Linked DNA regions of Notamacropus eugenii. The protein of the gene in region 2 interacts with the protein of the main gene of each other region in a biochemical or structural test. Links are inferred from orthologs where the notes say so. Each region holds a gene or a part of one and is shown on either strand. Other genes may lie near its edges.

What was found.
Region 1: the proteins of CFLAR (region 2) and DEDD2 form a complex in vitro, tested with the Homo sapiens proteins (2 studies listed by BioGRID). The link is inferred for Notamacropus eugenii from reciprocal best matches to the Homo sapiens genes CFLAR and DEDD2.

The regions. Positions count from the first base shown.
Region 1 is NC_092876.1:25,998,335-26,010,291, reverse strand, and holds the start of DEDD2 (DNA-binding death effector domain-containing protein 2), read left to right. Parts: upstream 1-6,479; 5' UTR 6,480-6,494; coding exon 6,495-6,622; intron 6,623-6,764; exon of another isoform or gene 6,765-7,671; intron 7,672-8,082; coding exon 8,083-8,462; intron 8,463-9,284; coding exon 9,285-9,395; intron 9,396-10,502; coding exon 10,503-10,637; intron 10,638-11,957. Other genes in the region: ZNF526 (zinc finger protein 526), read right to left, coding at 3,160-4,899, 5,439-5,513. UniProt on the Homo sapiens protein: May play a critical role in death receptor-induced apoptosis and may target CASP8 and CASP10 to the nucleus. May regulate degradation of intermediate filaments during apoptosis.
Region 2 is NC_092877.1:297,261,684-297,274,090, forward strand, and holds the start of CFLAR (CASP8 and FADD-like apoptosis regulator), read left to right. Parts: upstream 1-7,279; 5' UTR 7,280-7,747; intron 7,748-12,407. UniProt on the Homo sapiens protein: Apoptosis regulator protein which may function as a crucial link between cell survival and cell death pathways in mammalian cells. Acts as an inhibitor of TNFRSF6 mediated apoptosis.

The DNA.
Region 1 (11,957 bases), on a different chromosome or scaffold from region 2:
AGGGAGTAAGAATGTACAGAGGGCCTACTGTGTGCCAGATATTATCTTAGTTGGTCCTCACAACAATTGCCGTTTTGAGGCAAGCGGAGGCTGTGACTTGGCCAGTCACACAGCTAATGGGTATGTGAGGCCAGATTCAAGACTGTCTTGGTTTGTTGACCTCTGCAGAGCAGATTTGGGCTCATCATAAAGTAATTTCTGAACAGAGCTTCCCAGAGGTGAAGGGGGTGACCTCGGAAGGTAGGGGGTTGCTTTCCCCTCATGAGACATGTGACTGGGACAGCTGATCAGAAGCAGCAACTCGTCTTTGTCTCCATCTCCGTCTTCCGCAGTGTTCAAGCTGAGGCTGGATGTAGGATTTATGACTCGGGTGTAACCAGGCTTAGATCAGGCTTCAAGTATGAGGGCCCCCGTGCTCCTCCACAGCCTGAACCAGGTGAAGGTGGAATCGGGAAACGTTTAACAAAATAAAGAAGAATGCACTAAAGAAAGTGTTGACGTGGTTTTCTCAGGCGCTACGCAGCCCACAGGGATGGCTTCCTGCATCCCTCCCCTTGCTATTGGAGCTAAACACCACTGGCCTTCTCGTCTTCATCTTCATCCTTTCTCATTCTGTTGTTGGGAGCCTTCACATCAAGGGCATCCCTGGTGGGGCTTCACATTGGACCTGAGGGCATCTAAAGTTATCCCTTCTGAACTGTAACCTGACCAAAGTCACAGCTGGGATTAGAACACAGGGCCCTGTGCCAAGTCTTGTATTCTTCCCCTGGATCAGCCTTTCATTGCCCCATGGGAAGCCAAGGGTCCATTTACATCTGACCTTCTATCATTGTGGCCTTGGGCATCTCTGGAAAAGATGGCTCCAGTAGTGTTCATGGGATGTGCAAGTGTTGGGGGAGAGGAAGTTGAGGCTGGGTCAAGAACCATAAGGGCCCACGTGATGCTGAACTCCGAACCAGCAGGGTCTAGCCCGAGGGTGGCAGAGTAGGGTTGTGGGAAACCCTGAGTGGGCTCAAAGTTCAAGAGCAGACTCAAATCAGGTTTGTGCCACTCCCTGCTTGGGGCACCCTGTCCCCTTTCTGGTCTGTTTCCACCCCTCCCTCTTTCCTTCCCTCTGCAGCCTGTGACTGGGGGCCCCCTCTTCTGCTGAGCATTTTCTAATCCTGAGGCTTTTCTGACCCCCTTTTTCCTGGCTCTCCTCTGACTGACCTCAGTCTCCTCCAAGGCTGTGTTGTGAGCCCTCTTCTCCCACCATAGTCTGCTGTGTTTCCAGGTTTTAACCACCAGCTCTATAGACGCTTCTCAGATGTTTGTCTAGCCTTAACCCCTCTCCTAATCTGGAGTCTCCAACTGCCTATTAAGACATCTTAAATTCAGTATATCCCAAACTGACCTTGTCATCTCCCTGATCCTCTGTCACGGTAGAGGGCAGTACCATCCTCCCAGACCCTCAGGCTCCCAACCCAGGAGTCATATTCCAAGCCCTGCCCTGGTGCAGGCCTCAAGGCCTTACCCCGATCTACTGCCAGACTGATCTTCCTAAAGTCATCCCGTTGCCCCAGCCATCCAGTCAGCCCCAATGGATGACTCCCTGCCATCTCCATGAGGAACCCTATTAGGCTTTTAAATAAAGACCTTTATGGTCTCCATGTAGGGACAGTGTCCCCTACAAGACCCTGAATCTCACTGGCCGTGCTCGGGCCTGGCCCTCTCAGCCTCCTGGCTCCCTTGATCTCCCACCAGGCCAGTGCCTTACGTATCCCCAACTGATCCAACATGTGTGGTTTCAATGGGTTCGTTTGCCCATTGTTTCCCCTATGACTGTGCAACTTGGAGGCAGACAGCCATTTGCCTTTTTTTTGTATCCCAGTGCCAAGCACATAGTAGGCGTTTAGTAAATGCTTGCTGACAGACCAGGTGACTTTTCGAGTTTTTCTTTATGCGATGGCATTCCTGGGCTGATATTTGGCAATCCTAGGACACTGCTATGGAGGTACTCAATGTCAAAGGAGGTGCCTCTGGGTGGCTCGGATCGCCCCACCAGCCCCTGGAAGGTGGGCTAAACATGTGGATGGAGCAATTCTGTTCAGCTGCCTGTGTGTGGTGGATTCCTTGGGTTCCCTTGAGTGCATTCTGCCCTGTAAGGTTTCCTTATCTGCTTAAGGGCCACTCAGTAGAGCAGAAAGGGACAGTCAGAGGTGGGTTTTTGTCACAAGGATGACCTGCTCAAGTTGCCAAATGTGAAGACTTGATTTCCTGCTCTGGAAAATGGGAAAGCCATCTGCCTGCCCTCCACCTCCCATTGTGTTGGTAAGGTTAGGACTTCATGGTCGACCTTCTACCAAGGCAGATGCTCTTGGGAGCTCTCCCTCTCCCCAAATGCAGATTTAGAATCCAGTTTCTTACTCTGCTGCGCTTGTGAGCTGGTGCCCCAAAGGGCACAGGATTGACCGGCTGGTCATTCATCAGCAAGGATAAAGGGGGAGGGGGCAGCATTCACATTTTTGGTTTTTGTTTGGACTAGGCATCAAAAGCTCCTGGTAACCTTGGGGGGATGGGCAGAGACGAGAAGGTGGACCACACCACATCCTATGACCTGGGGATGTTCCACCTGGAGAGGGGGCAAGGGGGCAGCAGGGAATGGGCTGCCCTGGGTAGTCCAGCCAGGAGAGCTGGCTGACCACAGGTCGGATGGCTGATTAGACACTTGTGGGACAAGGTGTGCTAGTGCTAAGATTCTCTGTAGGTCATTGTGGATGCTTTTTGGTATCCTGTGGCCATGCAAGGGCCTTGGAAATCAGATATCACAGGGCAGCTAAGGACTATGACCACCACAAGGCCAAAGGACATCCATCTGACCTCCAGGAATGTCTCCTCTCCCACATCAGGTATGGAGAAATAAGCTCTGCAGTGTGAGCAGTCTTGGTCGCCCAGAAGCTCAACATCTGAGGCAGACAAGAGGAGCTCACGTTTGGCTTCCACAAAGGTCCCTGAATTCTGGGAGCCTTCATTTCCTGACCGATAAAAGGAGGGGTTGGCATGGTCTTCTCTCCTTCTCAATCTATGATTATGTGGAGAAGCCAAATCTCTACTTCATTAGCATAATGACATTAATGCAAACGCATTTATTAAGAACCCAGCCCGCCCTGTCTTAGCCTGTCACACAAAAGCAGCATCCAGGTGTAACAACCCGCCAGCCCCCAGTGCCACCTGGCATAGCTGCAATGTGTCCACCAGAGCAAGGGGCTGTGAAGTCTCAATGATAGCAATGGTTTCGCCCAGTTCTGTGCACATGATGGTCTGCTGTGGGGCTGGGGGGTTGGGGGCTGCCACAGGTCTGGGCTGGGGTTTGGGCTCATCCTGCCCTGGATGGCTCTGCTGGGAGTGCCGCTGCCCAGCCCGGCCCGCTGTCCCACAATGAGTTGCCCCCTTCCCGCACAGGCTCCGGACTGAGGCCAGACGAGCTTGGAGACGTGAGGCTCGGGAGAAGGCTGCAGACCGGCTGTGCAGCTGCCGGTGCTGCTGCAGGTTGGAACTCTGGGTGAAACGCTTACCACAGTCGGGGCAGGGGTAGGGACGAGCCCCCGTGTGGGTCAACTGGTGGCGGCTGAGGTTAGCTAGTGAGGCGAAGGTCTTCCCACAGGCATGGCACTGGAAGGGCCGCTCTCCTGTGTGTGTACGAAGATGGTTGCGCACGTGGACCAACTTCTTAAAGCCTTTCCCACAGACCCCACAGCGGTGCCGCCGCTCGGGTGGGGAGTGCACGGCCCTCCGGTGCCTGGCTAACCGGGCCGCAGAAGAAAAGGCCTTGGCGCAGTGCGGGCAAGACAAGGTGGCGGGGGGCAGTGGGGGTGGCGGTGGTGGCGGTGCAGGAGGTGGTGGCGGGGGTGCCCCACTCTTGCCTGCATGGGTCCGCCGGTGGTAGAGAAATTTTGTCATGTTGCTGAAAGTCTTACCACAGGGGCAGCGGTGGAGGGGATTGGCCGTGTGGGCCCTGCGGTGGGCAATGAGAGTGAGCTCTGTCCCAAAGCCCCGGCCACAGTCCACACATAAGTAGCGGGCCTCGCCCCGGTGCAACCGAAGGTGCTGCTCCAGGGAGGAGGCTTTCTTGAAGACTTTGGAGCAGGCGGGACACTCATGGGTACCCCCAACGTGGGCACGGCCGTGGGCCAGGAGACGGTTGGCAGAGCTGAAGCCACGCTGGCACTGGGCACAGCGATGGAGGGCTGTGGCCGGGGTGTGGGTCGCCCGCCGGGGTCGCCGCAGCTCCTCCCCCGGTCCCCAGGCGCCCTGGCCATCGCTGCACTGGTGGAGGTGGATGGCTCCCTCATCCTCGGCCACCGCCCCCTCCGTGCAGGGGCCCTCCTCCTCCTCCCCTCCATCAGCCTCTTCCTTCTCTAGGGAGGCAAAGTGGGTGCCTTGGTGCTCCAAGAACTCCTCGGGGGTGTCCAGCAGCTGCGCACACTCGGGGCACTCGTAGGGGTCCATCGTGGCTGCGGGCGAGGGGGGCGCGGGCTCTGCCTCCTCAGGGGCAGGGCAGGCCTCGCAGTGGGCCAGCCAGAGGTCAGGGGACAGGAAGAGCTCCTCGCAGTTGCCGCAGTGGTACTGGACCTGCCCCTGAAGGGGGCCGATGGGGGGGTCGGCGTCCTGGGTGTGGGCATCCTGGTGGGCCAGCAGGGCCTCAGGCGACAGCAGGAGCTCGGAGCACTCGAGGCACTGGAAGTGGCCGTCCTCGGGCAGGGCGGCGCCGGCTGCAGCTGGGCGGCGCTCGGGGCCAGGCTGGTGCTGCTGCTGGTGCAGGAAGACCTCCTCCAGGGTGTTGTAGAGCAGGCCGCAGGCCGAGCAGATGTACTGGTGCTGCAGCAGGAGCGGGGCGCCAGGACCCGCCCCCTCCATGGCCTGCGTGCGGGGCGAAGGGGGGCGCTCAGAGGAGCCCCCCGTCCCGGTCATCCCCTCCTGCCCTCCACCCGCGCCGGGCAAACTGAGGCAGGCAGGGGCAGGGACTTCCCCGAGGTTCCACGGCGCCCCCTCGCGGCTCACTGAAGCCCCCAAGCTGGAGCGGGGGCGGGGCTCAGGCCCCGCCCCTCCTGACCTCGGGCCCCTCCTCTCCGTCTCCAGGGCCGCAGCTGCCAGGGGCTGGGACTCGGCTTGGCCCAGCTGGGGGGGCTCTCCTCCTGGGGGGCTCTCCTCCTGGGGGGGCTCTCCTCCTGGGGGGCTCGGCTCGGGGGAGGCTCTCCCCCAACTGCTCTCGTCTCTTCTCTCAATCCTTCCTCTCGGGGTCTCTCCCTCAATGTCTCTCAGAGTCTCGTCTCTGTCTCTCCTCCCTCAGTGTGTCTCCCTCCATGTCTCTCTGTGTCTCTTGTCCGTCAGTGTCCCTCTGTCTCTCTCGCCCCCGCCCCGCTCCCCCTTCACCGGGCTCCTCCCCGCCCCCTCCTCACCGCCGTTGCAGCTCCCGTTATCGCCACCGCCACCGCCACGACCGGAGCGCACCCCGCACCATCGCCGCCTCCCATTGGACGCCGCGGGACCCAATAGGCGCTGGGGCGGGGGCGGGGCGAGGCGCACAGGGGCGGGGCTAACGGGAGTTCCAGGAGGCGCAGGCGCGAACTTCTCCCAGGACGGGACTGAAGGGGAGAAGGGCCTCAGGCGCAGGCGCAGGCGGACCAAAGCTACTGGTTTTGTTTTGCGCCACTAGGCCGCGCCACGGTGCCCGGAGCGCTGGGCTTGGAGCCAAGGAGACCAGAGTCCTGAAGCGAGCCCAGATGGGAGCTGTGTGACCCTGGCCCGATCACTTCCCCGGTTTGCCTCAGTGTCCTCAAGTGTGAAATGGCACTCGTAATAAGCACCTACCTCCCAGAGCTGCTGTCAGGGTCAGAGGAGAGAAATGCTGTTTCCCCGCCCCCCCTTCCTTTCTCCTTCCAAAACTTATATATAGGTTGGTTTTGTCCTACTGCGGAGGACAAGCGTGCTTGGCTTAGAGTCGGAAGACCTGGGTTCGAATCCTGATTTGCATCCTTAGTGCCTAGGTGACCCGGGAAAGCCACTGCTCCCCAAGGTCTCTTCCTACTTGGCATCTATGCACCTCCGCCCTACCCTTTAGCCCCACCCTGGGTCTCCACCCCAGACGTAAAGAGAGGATTAAGTAAGTGGTCATTTGGGGAGCAGCTGAAGCCCAGGGGCAGGGGACCTAATTCACCCGACTCTGGCTTTGCTGGGTTTGCTTCTCTCTTTATTTCTTATCTCCTCCTTACTTTACGTCCGGAGTACTCGACATCCAGTAAGCGTTTAATAAATGCTTATTTGACTTCTAGTTGAAGCGACTTGGGGGTGGGGCACAGCTGTGCCTGGGTGCAGCCCCTAAAAGGAAGGAAGTTTGTGTTTAGGGAGGCTGGGGACAAGCTGCCCCACCCTGTGACTGACGCCCAGACCCGGGACCAATTTGAGTCTGCCCTACCGAAGGGCCCCCTGCCTCCCTTTGGGAAGGGGGGGTGGAAATGAGTCAGGGTGGGCGGGGACAGAGGGGACCTCCCTCCCCTCTTCCGGAGTGCCCACAGCCCTCCTCCCTGTGCCCGGGGCAGCTGCACCGAAGTAGCCGCAAGCCACACATCTGGAGCCTTGGCAGGTATGAGGACCTCCCCTTCCCAATCCGTGCGCCCGCCAGCCCCAGGTGGGACAGGTAGGGGCCTGGGGGGGTGGGAGGAGAAGGCCTAGGCTGTGCCTAGGCTGGGGGAGGGCAAGCTTCTCCGAGGAAGGGGCTCTTCCACCTAATTCTGCGTCCCCAGCGCCAAGCGCAGTCAGGTACGCATCAAGTTCTTCACCAGCGCTGGCTGACTGATTGATTGATGATAGGTAGACTCCGCTGGGCTTTTCTCCCCCCTCTGTTTCCCAGGCAGTATTCTGTCCAATAGGGCGGTGTTTATGTCTTGGGGTTTGTCAAACCCTCATTGCTTTGGGGGCTTGTTTACGCGACTGGTCTCCTTTTAAATCGTGCTTCTGGGTTGGCCGAACAGAGAACTTATACTTAGGAAGACCTGAGTTCAAATCCGACCGCAGGCCTTTTCTAGCCGCTTCAGCTGCCCCTGCCTCAGTTTCCTCCTCTGAGAAGTGGGGCTGATTGTCGGCGACGTTGTCCGCGGGCTGGCCTGGGGATTCGGAGGTAGGCAGGGATGCCCTTGGGTCCGATTCCACCAAGCACCGCCGGTGGACGGCGCCGAACCTGCCCATTCGTTTTGGCTGTGGGCAGGAATGCCCTGGGGGGGCACTTATGCGGCGCTTTACGTATGCCGCTTCCCCTCCCAGGTGGCTGCTCTGTTATCCCCGTTTTATAGGGGAGGAAACTGAGTCCGAAGTAGGATTTGGAGTCCGGTCTTTGTTATTCCCAACTCCCAAGGGTCTTGCAGGGAAGGGGGGGCGCTCAGACGCGGGCCAGGCCGACCCGAGAGGAGGGTCACCGGGGCCCGAGGAGGGGCTGGGCCCCCAGTCACCCCATCCTCGGGAGGAAGTGGCATCAGCCTTAATTTACAGTTGACGAAACTGAGGCCCAGAGAGGGGGAAGTGACTCGAGGCTGGGAGGGGCGGCTTTGACCTCAGGTGAGTTCAGGTGTCCTGGGGGAGAAGCCCAGTCTGCGTCCGCATCCTCCCCGCCTGCTCTCCGCACGCGCATGCTCAGCGGACCCTCCCCGGCAGGTGTGGGAGGGGACGAGGGGCGGGCAGGTGCACGAGGAGAAGACCCGTTGCGCCTGCGCAGAGCTAGCCTGGGCGCCCGCACCTGCGCGGGTGAGTGGCCGCGGGAGGAGGCGGCGGGGCGGGGCGCTCGCGGCGCAGGCGCGGTTGCGGAGAAGGTACGAGAAACAACCCCGGCGCTGCAGCCGGCGGGAGGCTCCCGGCGGACGCGACCCCCTGGGGCGGGCCGGGGCGCGGAGAGTCCGGGCTGGGCCGTCGGCCTGGGCCGGAGGGGGCCGCAGGGTTCGGACGGAGCCCCCGGGACGTGGGAGGGGCCGGGGGGTGCCCGCCCGAGCACCGGGGCAGGTAGCGGCGCCCTCCCGGAGGCTGACGGCCCTCCCCCGCCCCTCTCTGTTCCAGCCCCCCTCGGCCGCGGGCTCCCCCAGACATGGTGGGGCCCCGGGGGCCGCGCAGCCCCTGCTGGGAGGAGGATGCCTGCCTGGACTACTACGGGCTGCGGTCCCTGCACCGCGTGTTCCAGGTGGTGGGCGCCCAGCTGACGGAGCAGGAGCTGTCCGTGCTGTCCTTCCTGCTGGCCGAGGCTGTGCCCGCGCCCCGGGCCGGGGAGCCCCGTCCGGCCCCGCTGGGGGCCCCGGCCCGCTCCGGGCTCGAGCTCCTGCTGCAGCTGGAGAGGAGCGGCGGCTGTGACGAGGCCCAGCTGGGGCCCCTGCGGCAGCTGCTGCGGGTGCTGGCCCGCCAAGACCTGCTGCCCGGGCTGTCCCTCCGGCGCGCCAGACCCGGTATGCGGGGGCCCTGCGGGGGCTGTGCGGGGCGGGAGGAGACGCGGGACCGACGGGGCCCCTCCAGGGTGAGGGTTTGGTCGGGGAGGGGGGTAAGCCGCGGACGGAGCCAGCGTCCAGTCCCAGCAGGGGCCGGAGGGACTCCGGAGGTCATCCTCCGCTGGCCTGAGGACGGAAGCCGGGTGCTCTGTGGCTCTTGGTTCAGCAGGAAGGAGGAGGGGATGGGAGAAGATGAGCCAGGCTTGGAATGATGGGGGATGCTCTCCTTTTTGGAGCAGGGGGCGCTTACCGGCTTGGGAAGGAGAGCTGTGTAGGCATCTCTTGGGGAAAGCCCAGAGGGTGTGGGCCAGCTAGGTCATGGGGTTCTGGGACTTGGAAGAATAGGAGATGGGTCATGGGGTGAACCTTCTCATTATATTATGGAGGAGGCCTGGCACAGCCAGGCTCTAGACCCAGGGCCTCTGGCTCTAACTCAGTGTTCTTCATACTTTAACCAGCACCAGGACCCATGTTCCCAGAGCCCTGCCTCTTCTCTTTCTCCACCATTATTCCCAGACCACTGACGGTCTTCCCCATTTTAAGCCAATGTTGTCTCTGGCAGTCATGGCTCTCTGCCTGGCCTGGAAATGGGGGCATCAGCTGGGCAGGGGAATGGGCAGCTCCAAGAAAATGGATATCATTCTGGGCATGGGGAAGTTCAGACCCCACTTGGAGGAAGGCTGTGGCCTGGGAAGAGGCACAGGGCCCAGGGATGGATGGGTGGGGGAGCTTTGGCATCTGGGCTGGAGTTGCCCAGTGACTGTCTCCTTTTCCATTCTTCAGTGTCTCCTGAGCGTTATGGCTGTAATTCTTCCGGGTCAGACGTGGAGAGGCCAGAGGGTAGCTGTCTGGGCTCAGCCAGTACAACTTCCCAACAGGCTCAGTGGGAGGCAGGTAAGCCAAGCAGAGTGGGGTGTCTGACTTTCTGGGTCTGTGTAATGGGGTCTCTGCAGCTGTTAATGAACTGATGTAGTATGATAGATAAAATTTACTTATTGAAATATTGGTATTTTAGTAGTGGTGTGGCATAGTGAGTAAAAGACTTGGGTTCGAATCCTGCCTCAGATACTTATAGCTTTGTGACCCTGGGTAAGTCCCTGAATGTGTCTGGGCCTCAATTTCTGCACTCTAAAAGGAAGGGATTGGACTCAACCCCTAAAGTGCCACCCAACTCTAGCTCAATGATCCCAGGAATATTTCTGGGCTCACAGGCTGGAGAATCAGTTCAAATCCCAGCTCTGAAGTAGTTGCTATTATGGTTTTATTTTCTTTGTAATTCTTAGATTGTGGGCAGCACTGCCCCTGGCTCCTACAAGCAGCAAAAAACAGTGTCTTGGATTTAGAGGAAGGGTCCTTGCTTTCACAGGGGCAGCTAGGGGGTGCCATAGTAGATAGAGCACTAGGTCTGGAGTCAGGGAGACTCATCATTCTGAGTTCAAATATGGTTTCAGACACTTACCCAGCTTTGTGACCCTGGACAAGTCACTTCATCCTGTTTGCCTCAGTTTCCTCACCTGTAAAATGAGTTGAGCAGGAAATGGCAAACCACTTTAGTATCTTTGCCAAAACCCCAAATGTGGTCATAGAGAGTTGGGCAGGACTGAAAAGCTCCTGAACAAAAAGTTTGCTGCTTTCCTTTCCCGTTATTTTCTGGCTCATTGCAAGGCTCTGTTCTCCTGCCCTCTCAAATTTCCCAGCTTTGGTTCTTCACATCTTATTCCTGTGTCTCCCACCATCCTTGGTTTTCTTCTTACCTTGCCTCAGTTTATGTATTAGGAATAATAATCCCTGTTTCTCTAGATTTCCCTTAGGACATCCATGAGAATGTCACTGCCTGCTCCCTAAATGGGATGACAAAGTTATAGAGGAAGGCCAGCTGGTCCAGCCCCCTCATTTACAGGGAGGAAACTGAGGCCTGAGGCAGTGCTTTGTCCAGGGTGACACAGGCAGCTGGTACCTGGGGAAGGATTTGAATTTTGCCTAAAGCCCTTTGTCTGGCAGGTTCACCTCCTGGGAAGAGGCAGAGAAGAAGCCTGGGCCGCTCCAGTGCTGCAGGAAGGCGGCGGCGGGGTCCCCAGGGAGCATCAAGGTCCAAAAATCCTGGATCGTCTCCTGCTGCAAACAAAGTGACCTGTGGTGAGGGCTATGGGCTGAAGGGGGCAAGGCTGAGCAGGGCACTCATTGCTTCCCACACCCCTCTAGCACTGGAGTTCTTTGAGAGCTCGGAATGCCTGATTTGGGAACCGAGCATTTGGGGGGAGGGACAGGCGGGGTTATCCAGTTCTGTCGGCCTGAGTGGTTTAGGAAGGCCATTGATGGAGCCCAGAGCCGGGCAACCAGGGGGGCCTCAAGTCTAGTCTAGTATGTAGTCTTCATGTCTGAAGGAGCTGGGAACATCTGGCCTGGAGGAGGCAGTGGGATTGGGGTATGAGAGCTGTCTGCAAGCACCTGAACTGAACAGCTGTACTGTGGGAGGAGGTTACATTTTTCTGTTTGGCCCACAGTGTAGAGGCAAAGTCAGTGGGGGATATTACAGAGTGAGAGGCATCTGGATGTGAGGGGGGGAATAACAAACAACTTCCTAACAAGTTCAGGAGTGGAACGGGAGGGAGTGAGCTCCCTGGCCCTGGAAAGCTTCCAGCCCAAACAGAGAAGGGCCCTTTGGCTGGCTGTAGGCAAAACCCTGGGGAGGTGGGATAGACGGTGTTGAGGTCACTTTGACCTTCAAGATGCTGTAATTATGTGAAATCGGAATACACAGTACCAGGGGAGAAATGAGAGATGGAAGAGATGGGAAGGAAGGGATGACCCCTTCCCCTGTCACATAGTTACAGATTGTCAGAGCTGGGAAGGGCCTTGGAACAAGGGATGTCAGGGCTGGGAGGGGCCTTAGAACAGAGACTGTCAAGTCTTTAATCCCTAGCCCAGTCCTGTTTTTTTGTCAACTCCTGACTATTCTGATCATTCATCCCCCAAACAAATGATCTCAAGGGTCTCAGAGAGCAGGACATGGGATGAGAGATTCCTTGGCTCCGAGTCAGAAAGCTTGGGTTCTTGATTTGCTGTGACCTTGAGGGGAGTTTTCTTCCTCTACAAAAAAGGTTGTGTGGGTTAGGTAGTTTTTAGTGTCCTTTCCAGATCTGATGGGCTGGTGTCTGTGTGTGCATGTTCATGCCAGTCGTTAACATATATTAAGGGCCTACTGTGTGCCAGGCTCTGTGCTAAGTGATGGGGACTCAAAGAAAGGTGGAAGACAGCCCCTATCCTCAGGGTTTCATAGTCTAGTGGACACAGTATGTAAACAACCCTGTACAAAGCTATGATCAGGATGAATTGAAAATAACCAGCTATGGAAAGGCACCAGAAGTAAGAGGGGTTGGGAAAGACCTCTTAGAGACGTGGGATTCTAGCTGGGACTAGAAGGAAGCAGGAGAGAAAGCACTCCAGATTGGAGGA
Region 2 (12,407 bases):
TTTTCTACAGACATGTCTTTCTGACCTAGTGTTGCAAAAGAACGCTGTGTTCTCCCAAAGTGAAAGTAAATAGGTTGTGTATCCTTTGGAAAAGTCTTATCTTTCAATTTTCAGGATTGGATATAAGGGATACTTAATACTGCACAAAACCATTGAGGTAATGGTTAAGAAAGAATAATTTTCTTTTGGATTATGCCCATGACAGTTTTCTAAAAACTATTTTTAACTAAAATCACAAGATGAGTAAAGCATTTCAGTACCTCCTGTGCATGCTCTGCCTACTTCCTCTATAATTATTCAGCTTACAAACTGGAATTTTGAGAGAAAGAATAGCAGAATATAATTTTCCATTTCTTTATCATTTTGATTGTGAGTAGAACAATTTGCCTCTACTTTGATGTAATTAACTGGAGGCAAAAATGTCTCATTAGTGTTATAGGCTACTAAATATTATAGGTTTACTGAGCACCCATTTCATCTTCAAAAATAGATGTTCTCTTTTCAATGCTTTGTTTGCTATAGCTGGGATAATGTTTCATATTTCATCTGCTACTAATTTTACATGGGAAATACTCCCTGTTCAGGGACACAATACCAAAGGGCATCTCTGCAGTTCATAGTAACCATAGCAATGACTGTTCTAAAATATAGAAAGAGAGCCTCTGCCTGCACAGATGGTATCATTTTACTGAGTAAGAATCAGGTTCACAGGCAGCGATATCACCTGGACCCCAGAATCTGACGTGATAGTAAAGTAAGACAATAACATGAGAGCTTGTGACACAGGCAAGTGCTTAAAAATAGCGATGATATTCAGACCAACCTCCTAGAGGAGCATAATAAAGAACCTAATCTGTGCAGATATAGAACTATTCTCATCATGAAGGTGAATCATAATTCACCTATTTGACAATATTTGGACTTCACTAAAAATATTCCTTAACATAAAGCCTACCAATGTTTATTTCTGCATTGTGTAATCCAACTAACTGTAATTCTAATAAAATTATAATTATCCATTTCTTTATGTGTTATTATTACCAGACCAGAAAGGCAGCACAGCTTAGTGGCTAGAAGTCTGACTTTGTCACTGTGCTAGCATATTAAAAAAAATTAGTTCAAGTGAAAATATTCAGAAATAATATTTTCTCTGGCTGAAAAATCCTTTCCAGACTTTTCCTTTGAGAAGAGGAGAACAAAAGAGCTTTTCTGGAGAGTCCAGTTAGATCAACTCAACAAATATTTATGAAGGACTTAACATGTGCCAGGCACTGTGTGAAGTGAAGAAGACATAAAGAAAGTTGAAAACAGTTCCTGACCTAATGAATACGAGTGGGAAAAAACCCTAAACAAAAAGTGACTTTGATCCTGTAAGATACTTGTCTTCCCTGTCCCCAAAGTCATTGGGTTATGTTGTTGTTCAGTTGTTTCAGTCGTGTCTGACTCTTTGGGACCCCATTTGGGGCTTTCTTGGCAAAGATACTGGAGTGGTTTGCCCTTTCCTTCTCCAGCTCATGTTACAGATGAGGAACTGAGGCAAACAGAGTTAAGTGACTTGGCCAGGGTCTCATGGCTAGTAAGTGCCTAAGCCCACATTTGAATTCAGGTCTTCCAGACTGCAGGCCTGGCACTCTATGCGCTGTGTCACCTACCTGCCCCTATTGGGATATGAGAAGACACCTAAAGGAAGTACCCTTTTCTCACTAAAGAGGAAATATTCTCTTCTTTTATTCAGAAAAGATCAAAATGTTGATGATATTGATCTAAGGTAGGAGATTCTTGGGGAGGGCAGTCAAAGAAGGAATTGAGTAGCTATGAAGTGACTTGTTCTATTTGTTGAAGTAGGATGTTAATTCTAAACTTTATTTTAACATATTATAACATTTTCCTTGCTCAAGTTTCCTATAAATAATACCTCAAATAGTATTGGGATAGAGAAATGGCAAAGGGTATAGGGTGAAAGACTACTTGTACAGTTCAAAGGCTTCTCTTTCTGTAGGTTAAAATGTTTAGATTTAGAATACTGTTAAATCAAATTTTAAAGGTTTCTGGTACACTTATACCTAAAACACAAGGGTACAATATTAAAACATGTAATTACCCATATGCTCAGACTTACCTATTATTTACTGTATGTTTTTAGCATACTTTTACTTTATTGTTTTCTTTTCAATATTTATTTTCTTCCATGTTCCTGCCATGCATAGAATTCCATGGATACATCCGTCTGTTTTGTTGCATATGCAGTTTTGTTATTTGCATTTATGTTGATTTTTCTGTCTCTAGGCTTAATGATATTGCTGCTGTTTTGCTATCATTTGACCAATAAATGAGTAAATATTGATTAAGCACCCATTACATGCCAGGCACTGTGCTAAGCATCCAGGATACAAAAAGAAGCAAAGGACAGTCCAGGCCTTCAAGGAGTTTGTGCTTTCTTAGGAGCATAAGTAGAAGGATTGTCCTTGGTAAAGAGAAAGTCACCTCTTCCTCAGAGACTGGAGCAAAGCAAGTAAAGACAAACAAAGGTATAGAGGGGTTTTTGTCTATGAAACAAGGGATATTTGGGAGCTTACCCAAGGTGTCCTCAATTTTCTCGGAACAGTAAGAAGAAAGGTCACCTACTAAGAGAATGGGTGTAGAGTACAATTAGAGAGCTTGGGGAGAGGAGAGAAAAGTCTTGCAAGATAAAGAAGAGAGCCTATAAGTCTATTAAGGAATATTACAAGGATTGCAGTGCAATTGGGAAGGCCCAGTTTATATTAGATAGCATAAATTTGTAGTTGAGTCAAAAGAAGGATGGTGGGAATGATCCAGAGGATGAGGATGCTTGGCAAAGCATGAGTAGTGCCAGGATGAGGGGACAGTGAATTCAAGTGTAATAACAGCTGACATTTATATAACATTCATTATGTGCCAGGCACTGTACTGAGTACTTCTACAATTATTATCTAATTTAATCCTCACAAAAACCCTGGGAGGTAGGTGCTATTATTATCCTCACTTTACAGGTGATGAAACTGAGGCGAACAGAAGTTAAGTGACTTGCTCAGGGTCACACAGCTAGTAAATGTCTGGTAAGTCTAAGGCAGGATTTGAATTCACTTGGCTTTAGACCCAGCACTCTACTCACTGATAGTAAAGACTGATAGTCTCTACCCCCTGCCTCTCACCATAAACAAGGAGAACAGGAAAGAACAGAGGAATCAGAGATCAGAGTTAGAATGAAAAATGGGGGTGGAGGGTGGGAATGAAACAGAAAAATAGAGGATGGGAAATGATGAACGGAAAGGAGGATTTCAGAGTTCAAGGTCATAGTGGTGAAATATAAGGTATGACCACTCATTCCTATGGGTTAATGAGGTGGAATAAAGATCTAAGTCATAGGCATTGAGGTATTATGAACAGGGAAGCCATGATGCTGGTAAAGTCCCACCCTGCCATTCAAATTCTTTATCTTTGTCCCTTACATGACATAGGTGGGGACATTTTCCATATGATAGTCACATGCATAGTTGTATGCAACTATGGGGGTTGCCTCTCTAGCAAAACATAAGTTGGAGAGTTGAAGGACGCTGCCTTCTAGTGAGTGGAGTTACTGACCAGTACCACATTCTTGAAAAGAAGAGGATTGTACATGTGGAGCCCTCCGCAGAGAAGGAGTACAGCTATTATGTTGTTCAATCATTGTGTCTGACTCTTCACAACCCCCTTTAGGGCTTTCTTGGCAGAGATACTGGAGTGGTTTGCCATTTCTTTCTCCAGCTCATTTTGTAGATGAGGAAACTGAGGCAAACAGGGTTAAGTGACTTGCCCAGGGTCACACAACTGGTAAGTGTCTGAGGCCAGATTTGGACTCAGGAAGATGATGTCTTCCTAACTCTAGTCACTGCACTCTATCCATTTCATCATTTAGCTGCTCAAAGCTATTATATGGGAGAAGCAAAAGACTTTGCTCTTACGGAGTCAGGAAGACTTGAGTTAAAATCTAGCTTCAGATATGAATACATGACTTTGGACAAGACACTTAACCTCTTTGATCCATAGTCTCCTCATCTGTAAAATGGTGATAATAGCGCCTACCCCTCAGTGTTGGTATGGGGATAAAGTGAGGTTATATTTCTAAAGCCCAGAGAAGTTCATCAGCATTGTATGTCAATTTCACGATGGCATCCTGGTCCGGGTTCTAGATAATGGACAATGCTCTCTTGCCTTCCCAGTCATCAGTGGAGTGAAACAAGGCTGTGTGTTTGCTCCCATGATTTTTAGCATGATGTTTTCAGCCATGTGGTCAAATGCTTTCAATGAGGATGAACATGGCATCAAGGTCAGCTACCACACTGATGGTAAGTTTTTCAATTTGAAAAGGCTACAAGCCAAGACCAAAGTAGAGGGAGTGTTGGTACATGATTTTCTGTTTGTGGATGATTGTGCACTCAATGAAGCCTCTGAAGTAAGATGCAACAAAGTATGGATCAATTCTCTGATGCTGATGCTAATTTTTGCCTAACAATTAACACCAAGAAAACACAGGTGCTCCATCAGCCACCATCACACCATCCATACATGGAACCATTGGCTACAGCAAATGGAGAAGTTTTGAATGCTGTGGATAAGTTCACTTGCCTTGGTAGTGTACTTTCCAGGGATGTATACATTGACAAGGAGGTTGATGCATGCATTGCTGGCGCTAGCTGGGTGTTTGGGAGGCTCCGAAGAAAAGTTTGGGAGAAAAGAGCGATTAGACTGACTACCAAACTGAAGGTCTACAGAGTTGTTGTGCTGACCTCATTGTTGTATGCCTGTGAAACATGGACAGTCTACTAGTGCCATGCCAGGAAACTGAATCACTTCCATTTGAACTGTCTTAGGAAGATTCTGAGGATCACCTGGAAGGATAAGGTACCAGACACTGAAGTCCTTGCTCAAGCTGAACTGTCAAGCATTCAAGTTATGCTTCAGAGAGCAGAACTCCAATGGCCTGGCCACATTGTTTGAATGCAAAATGTACACTTGCCAAAAAAACTGTTTTATGTAGGACTCACACAGGGTAAGCATTCACATGGTGGTCAGAAGAAATGCAAGGTCACACTCAAGGTCTCTCTTAAGAACTTTGGAATTGATTGTATGACTTGGGAGTTGCTGGCACAGGACTACTCAGTATGGCATGCCTACATCAGAGTAGGTGTTGGGCTCTGAACAAAGCAGAATTGAAACAGCTCAAAGGAAACTCAGGATGTACATATTTAGCATCTCCACCTCAAATGTTCATACCGACCATTTGTGCCTGACCTGTGGTAGAGCATTCTGAGATCATATTGGTCTGATCAACCACAGCTGGACACACTGAAACCTGACTCTAGCACAGTGATGTCATTTGGGTCCTCTTTGAGAAGGAAGGTCAACAACAACCATTTCTAAAGCACTTTTGCAAACTGTAAAGAATTATATAAATGTTATTATTTAGTTATGAAGACAGTGCAGATTCAGTAGGAAGGAGAAGGCTTACTTATCTTTTCTAGAGAAGTCTAAATCCTTAGAGACTTGAGCCTTTAGCTGCTCCAAATTCATTTCCCCTCCAGGAGGCAGTCCAAACCACAGACTGATGCCAGAAGTCCAGACAATTGCACATAGGCCATAGGGGGAAAGGTGGAACTCATTGGGAAAAAAAAGAGGAAACAAATCAACTGTTTATGGGCTATTATGAATTCTTTATGTTGTTTTGTACATTCTGTAGGATGGAATAAAGGTTATGTTCCTATGGGATCTGGAAACCTTTTTACTCACATCTGTGTAAACTTATCAATGAGTTGTTTGAGCCATATAATAATAATAGTTAACATTTATGGAGAGCTTGCTTCCTATGCCTTTTTCATAATCAAGGAAGAAGTCAAATTGTGCTGGCCAAATGAAGCAATATCCTGTTTTAACACTGCCCAGCCTCACCAGTGTACTCATGAGTACATTTTCCCAAAATACTGTCTCCCTTTGATTTAGTCACACTTCTGCTTTAATAATGACATGTGGGGAGGGGGAGGGTGTGCTAAACTTTGGCAAACATTTTGGCAAATGTAAGAAGAATCGATATGGGTCTTCTGTTCCTCAAACTAGTGATTTCAGGGTAGGATCACAGGCTCATTATAGCATCATAACAGCACACATTTCTTTAGTACTTTATATATATTGCTCATTGGAGACTTCCTATAACTTCTTTGAAGTAGGTGTTACTATCCTCACTTTTCAGGTGAGCATACTAAGGTTCATTGTTGTTAAGGGTCCAGGATTACACAGCTGGTAAGGATCTGAGGTAGGAAAGAGTCAAACCTAAGTCTTGGATCATAGATTTACAACTGGAAAGGACCTCAGAAACCATCTAATGTAGTCCTCACACACACACACACACACACACACACACACACACACACACACACACACACACACACACACACACACACACACACGGAAAGGAAAGCCCAGAGAAGTAAAGCAACTTGCCCAAAGTCAAACAAGTAGGAAAAGCAGTATTGGAAATAAATTCATTTGAGACTTCAAATAACGACGGTTAAATAGGCCCACATTGCCACATTTCCATTGTTATGGCTCAACACAAAATAGCTTTAACAATACAAAATAAAGAAAGAAAAAGACCCTTTTCATCAACTTGAAGAGGAAAAAAAGGTTAAAAATGGAAAAAAAATTGACCCTTCACAACAAAAGCTTTCCATTAGATCCCAGGTTGAAGGGTGAGAGTGGGTGGGGTATGAAAATGGGGATTAATAATGAGACAGCTCTGCAGGCTTTGCTCATGCATAGATCATTACTTTAGAGTCGGGAAGGAACCCCAAAGACTGTCTAGTCCTCCCCCTCATTTTACAGACAAGAACAAGCAAGGTTAAATGACTCATCTATTAGTCAGAGGTCAGACAGGAATTTGAGCAAAGGTCCTGATTTCACTACCAACCCTGCCCCCTCTGCCCTAGAGTCAGCCCTTTGCTCTTTAACTAGAATGTAGGGGAGAGCAAGTAAGCATGGATCATGCCTGAACCATAAAGGTATCGATGTTTCACGTTACTAGTAGTACTTAGGGCTTCAGGTTATTCCTCTACAAAATGAGCAAAACCTTATAAGCTGCTATGTTCACAGGATCCCAGATTTAGAACTGCAAGGAACCTGAAAGAACGAGTTCAATCTCTTCTTTTTACAGATGGGGAAACTGAGGCCCAGAGGTACCTGCCCAAGGTCAGACATGGAGTAAGCTACACAGAGGTATGTTAAACCTCTAAATGACTCTTCCAGCTCGAAATCCCTATGACTTTAAAAAAAAATTTTTTTATTGATGTCTTTTGAGTTAACATAGAGTAAATTTCCCCCGATTCCTGTAACTTCGAACTAGCTACACTAATTATTAAAACCTAATCACAAGAGACCCCGATTTTGAACTCCAGCAATGGGAGAACTACTGCTGGGCGTGGACAAAACCCTAGATCCGTCACCTCCGAGTCCTCAAGCCTGGGGTTGGTCCTGCCCTCCAGTGCTTGGGCGTGCGGGATAGGAGCTCTTGCCCCGGTGCTAAGTTCGGGATCGTAAGCGGCAAACTGGGTAAAATTCTTGTAAGAAGCTGCAGTCCAAGTTCTGAGGAGTGGGCGCAGTGGGCACTCTGTTGGGCTCACTGTTGGTCAGATAGCTCACTGGTCAGAACCTCACTTTCACTTTAGGATTCTGGAGCTCCGGAGCCGCAGTTTTGAGGGTGAGTTACTTACTCCTACCACCCTTGCCCCTTTTTCTTTAATTTTCCTTTCCTTAATGCTGTGAACATGTCTACTTCTGATCTGTCTTTTAAAGGGGTTTAGGGAGGGGAGGGAGGGCTGCTGGCAGACGGTTCTTATCTGAATCATAGGTGGGTTATTGTGTGTTTGTGTTTAAATCATCATTTTGCCTGACCTTTCCTTGGCAGTGGTCCCAGACCAGCTGCTGGCTGGATCTGGAAGGAAGCACAGACTAGAGACCTGGAAAGAAACGAGACATGGCATCCTTCTCTTGGGAGGTACTGAGGATTTCTTGTCCCGAGAGAAGGAGGAACCCTTTTTTCTGTCCTGATCTTTGTGTCCTTTTTAGACCCACTGAAACTGGGGTTGCCACTCAGTTTACGCCGATCAGAAACTTTAATTTGTTTAACACTGAAACAAGTGGCTAGCACGCAGGAGTCTGTGAAATTCGGCAGTTTCCGTTTCTCACTTTAAATAGTCCTAGAAGAGGCAAGACGTTGGTGTGGTTGTTTTTCCTTCTATTTGAAGAGGACCTTGACTTCCGGGGAATGGGATATCCTAACTTGCAAGTGAATTGGATTTAAAAGAGGCAGGGCTGAACTGTGCCTACGTGGTTTCATTTTCCAAGGACTGCTTATTTTTGAAGTTTTACCCCTCCCTCAAAAGGAAAGGTTTATGTGTAAAGGGAGGAGACTGAGTTTATTTGTGTCCAAGGACTATTCTTTATTGTTTCACAATTGTGTTTCTCAAGGTAGGCATTTTGACAGGGTGTGCCGGTTCATGTTTGCTGAGTGTTCCAAGTTGATCAGTCTGTTTTTCTCTTCAGAGTAAAACATCACAAAGTTGTTACTTTAAAGCTTCCAAGTAATTTTAGTGTTACAGGACTGATAGCTGGAAGGGATCATTAGATCCCTGAGAGATCATTCTGTCTAGTCCAACTCTCCCCAGTCCCTTTTTTTTTTTTACAGATTAGGAAACTGAGTCCTAGAGAGGTTTCCAGGAAGCCTCTAGGGAAGGGAGCTGAAACTTGGGTGACCCTAAACAGGTCCCTTGGCCTTGGGCCTCATTTTATTTATAAAGTGGGGACAATAGTCCCCTTAGGATCCACCTTAAAGATTTGTGAGGAGTGTGCATTTTGTTTGGTTTTTTAAAAATGTATAGTTTGTTTTTTACACTAACAGCCTTTACAACTATAACTTTGTACACCTCTCTCTCCCTCCCCAACCCAATATGCACCTCTCAGAGAGCCATTCCTTATAACAAGAATGGGGAAAGAAGTTCAGCAAAACTAAGCAATATATGGAAAAAGTCTGATGTTATTCTACACAGTGTTCCATACCAGGGTGTCTTCCACCTCTGCAAAGAAGGGAGGGTGCATTTTCTAGTCTCTTCTACAGGCTAAACTTGGTTATTATAATTTCAGGTTGTTTTTTTTTTTTCAGGAGAAAATCATTCTTTTTATAAAACTGAGTTTTTACTTTTTTTTCCTATTTCTCACATTATCATGATATTTCACGTATTCCACCCTATACCCCTTCCTGAAAGCCATCTCATGTGACAAATAGTATTTTTTAAATAGGAAGAAAAGTCAGCAAAACTGTTGTTCAGTCATGTCTGATTCTTCATGACCCCATTTGGGGTTTTCTTGTCAAAGAAAGAGTACTTTGCTATTTCCTTCTCCAACTCATTTTATGGGTGAGGAAACTGGCAAACAGGGTTAAGTGACCTGCCCAGGGTCACACAACTACTAATTATCTGAGGCCATGCTATGATGAGTCTTCCTGATTCCAGGCCTGGGACTGTGACACATACCTGCCCTAGCAAAATTGATGGATAGATTCAAAACGGTCTGAAGAAAATATGTGCAATGTGTAAACCTTCTACCTGCTCAAAGGTGTAGGGTGGAGGTGTCTGCTGCTGTCTCTTCATTTGAGTTCTTTTTGATCTTTATAATTTTGTTACATTTGCTTTTGATTTTCTAGTATGTTTTCAGTGTACATTGTTGTAGCTGTTGTATGCATTGTTTCCTTGGCTCTGCTTACTTCAATCTGCATCATTTCATATAGATCTTTCCTTGCTTCTGTGTATTCATCATACGCATAATTTTTTACAGCACAGCAATAGTTCATTACATTCATGTACCACAATTTGTTTGGCCATTCTCTGATTGATAAGTATCCACTTTGATTTGAATTCTTAGTTATCATAAAAAAAAGTGTTGCTATAAATATTTTGGAGTATAGACAGTTCTCACTTTAGGTAAATGGCAATTTTTACATAATACAAATTTCCCCCCTCTTCCTATGGGGAAGAGAGAAAGACAGGAAGAAGGGGCAAGCACAGGTTTCAGGAGAAGTGAGAGCAAGAGGACGAACAGATGGGGACAGAAACTGAGAGCCACACATAGACTCAGATAGGAGTGGTTGGCAACAGGGGCCAGGAGACAGGGCAACACAGACTGGGACAGATGGGGTACCTCAGCCAGACTGATGAAGATTGATGTGTAGCAGGGCAAAGGTTTCCTCTCTGGTCAGCTGCACTAATAGTGGTGTTCTCTCTGCCCTTCTACTTTTACTTCAAGGGTTTTTTTTTTTTCCTGGTGGGGGGCGGGGTACTGCAGAATTCAGAACTGAGGGACAGGTGGAGAAAGTGAGAGCACAGTATTGTACAATAAAGCTAACACAGGTATTTTCGGAAAATGTGGATTTCTTTCGGAATTCTTTATCTAAGCCAGAACTGCTTGTATATGGGAACTATCAGGAGGCTCCTTGGTGTATAAACCCAGTAATGGAGTCTCTGGTTCAAAGGGTATGACCATTTTGGGTACTTCAATTACATAATTCCAAATAGATTTCCAAAAAGGTTATACTTTTCACAACTCTATCAACAATGTATTAATGTAGCCAATCTTTCCACCAGCTCTTTAACATTGATCATTGCCATTTTTTGTCATTTTTGCCAATTTATAAGATGTGAGGTGAAGCTTCAGGGTTGTTTGGATCTGCATTTCTTTCATTATTAGTGATTTGGAGCATTGTTTTTCATGTGAATACTTTGCAATTTTTTTGAGAACTGTTCATATTCTTTGACCATTTATCTATTGGGGAATGGCTAATAGTCTTGTACGTATTTACTGATTGTTTATATATCTTGGATACCAAACCCTTATCAGAAAAATTGATGTAAAGCATTTTTTCCCATTTGACCACTTCCCTTCTTATAGTAGCTACATTAATATTGTCTATGCAGAAGTATTTTCAGTTTCAAGTAATCAATCTATTTTATCTTTTGTCATTGTCTTTATCTCTTGTTTGATTAGGAATACATTTCCTACCCATAACTATGAGAAATAGATGATCTGTTTGTCTTCTAATTTTTTAAACAGTATGATCTTTAATATTAAGATTGCATATTTATTTAGAATGTATTGTGGAATATGGTGTAAGAGAAATATATTTTTTAATTCAATTTTATTTTTTTTAGGTGATAATTCTTTTTAAAGCATTTACAATATAGACCACAAAAGAATTTTTTTTAAACATTAACCAACTGAGACACAAACAATATTTATGTATGCTAACTTCACAAGCCTAATTGTCTCCAAAATATTACTAAGAATTAAAGGACCCTAACTTATTGGTGTTGGTCTAAAGTCCTAAGCCTAATAGCTTAATTTTAGACTTAACCTCGAATGTTCCCCTACCAACAATCTATAATTTAATAGATCTGGTATTAAGCTTACAAACCTTTTGAATATAGGAAATTGCCACCAAGAGTAGGGACATTGCAGGGATATAATATCTCCCCAACTTCATGTCAGTTCCAGGTAGGAGTAGATTGTCAACTTGCATTCAGTCAGTCTTAAAGTCTGCCAGGTGTCAGTGGGGAAATTGAGTCAGGAGAATCCTTCCTCAACCCAGGCTGAACAGCCGCTCTCCCACCCTTCCCATGAGATCACCTTTTTCAGTTCATACCATGTCACCGGCTTACTGGCATCATGGATTGGAGGCTCAGACCACCTTTCTTGCTCCCCATACCTGGAGTTAGACTCAGAAGAACAGTCACTTAATAGTCCCATAGCATCTTAAAATAGCAAGTTCCAATAATCAGGTTTCATATATGACTGTCATTTCACTTTGGCTAAGGAACATCTTCTGAGGCAAGTCTTAAGTGGCTTACATGCCTTTCTATACATGTTCTAGTTCCTGATTAAATAACAATCATAAAATCAGATTTATCATTAAAACCTTAACTTTTCCATCAATGCCAAATTTTACCCCGCAGTTACCTGCTTCTAGGAAATTTAGACTAAAATTCTTTTCCCCAAACTAAAGATGTCTTTGATTTATTCTCAGTAATTAATTCAGTCAATTGTTTTAATACTACTTGCTTTTACATCATTTTGTAATATGTCCATTTTTCTCCCCATTACTCCCCTCTCCCTGCTTCCTAATACCTTGCATTCTGATTACTTCTTCCTTCAATGAACTATCTATCCCTTCTATCATATCCCACCCTTCCCTTATCCCCATCTTCTCTCTTTTCTTGTAGGGCAAGATAAATTTCTATACCCCATTCCCTGTGTTTCTTATTTCCTGGTTATATGCAATAAAAATTCTCAGCATTCGTTTCTAATACTTT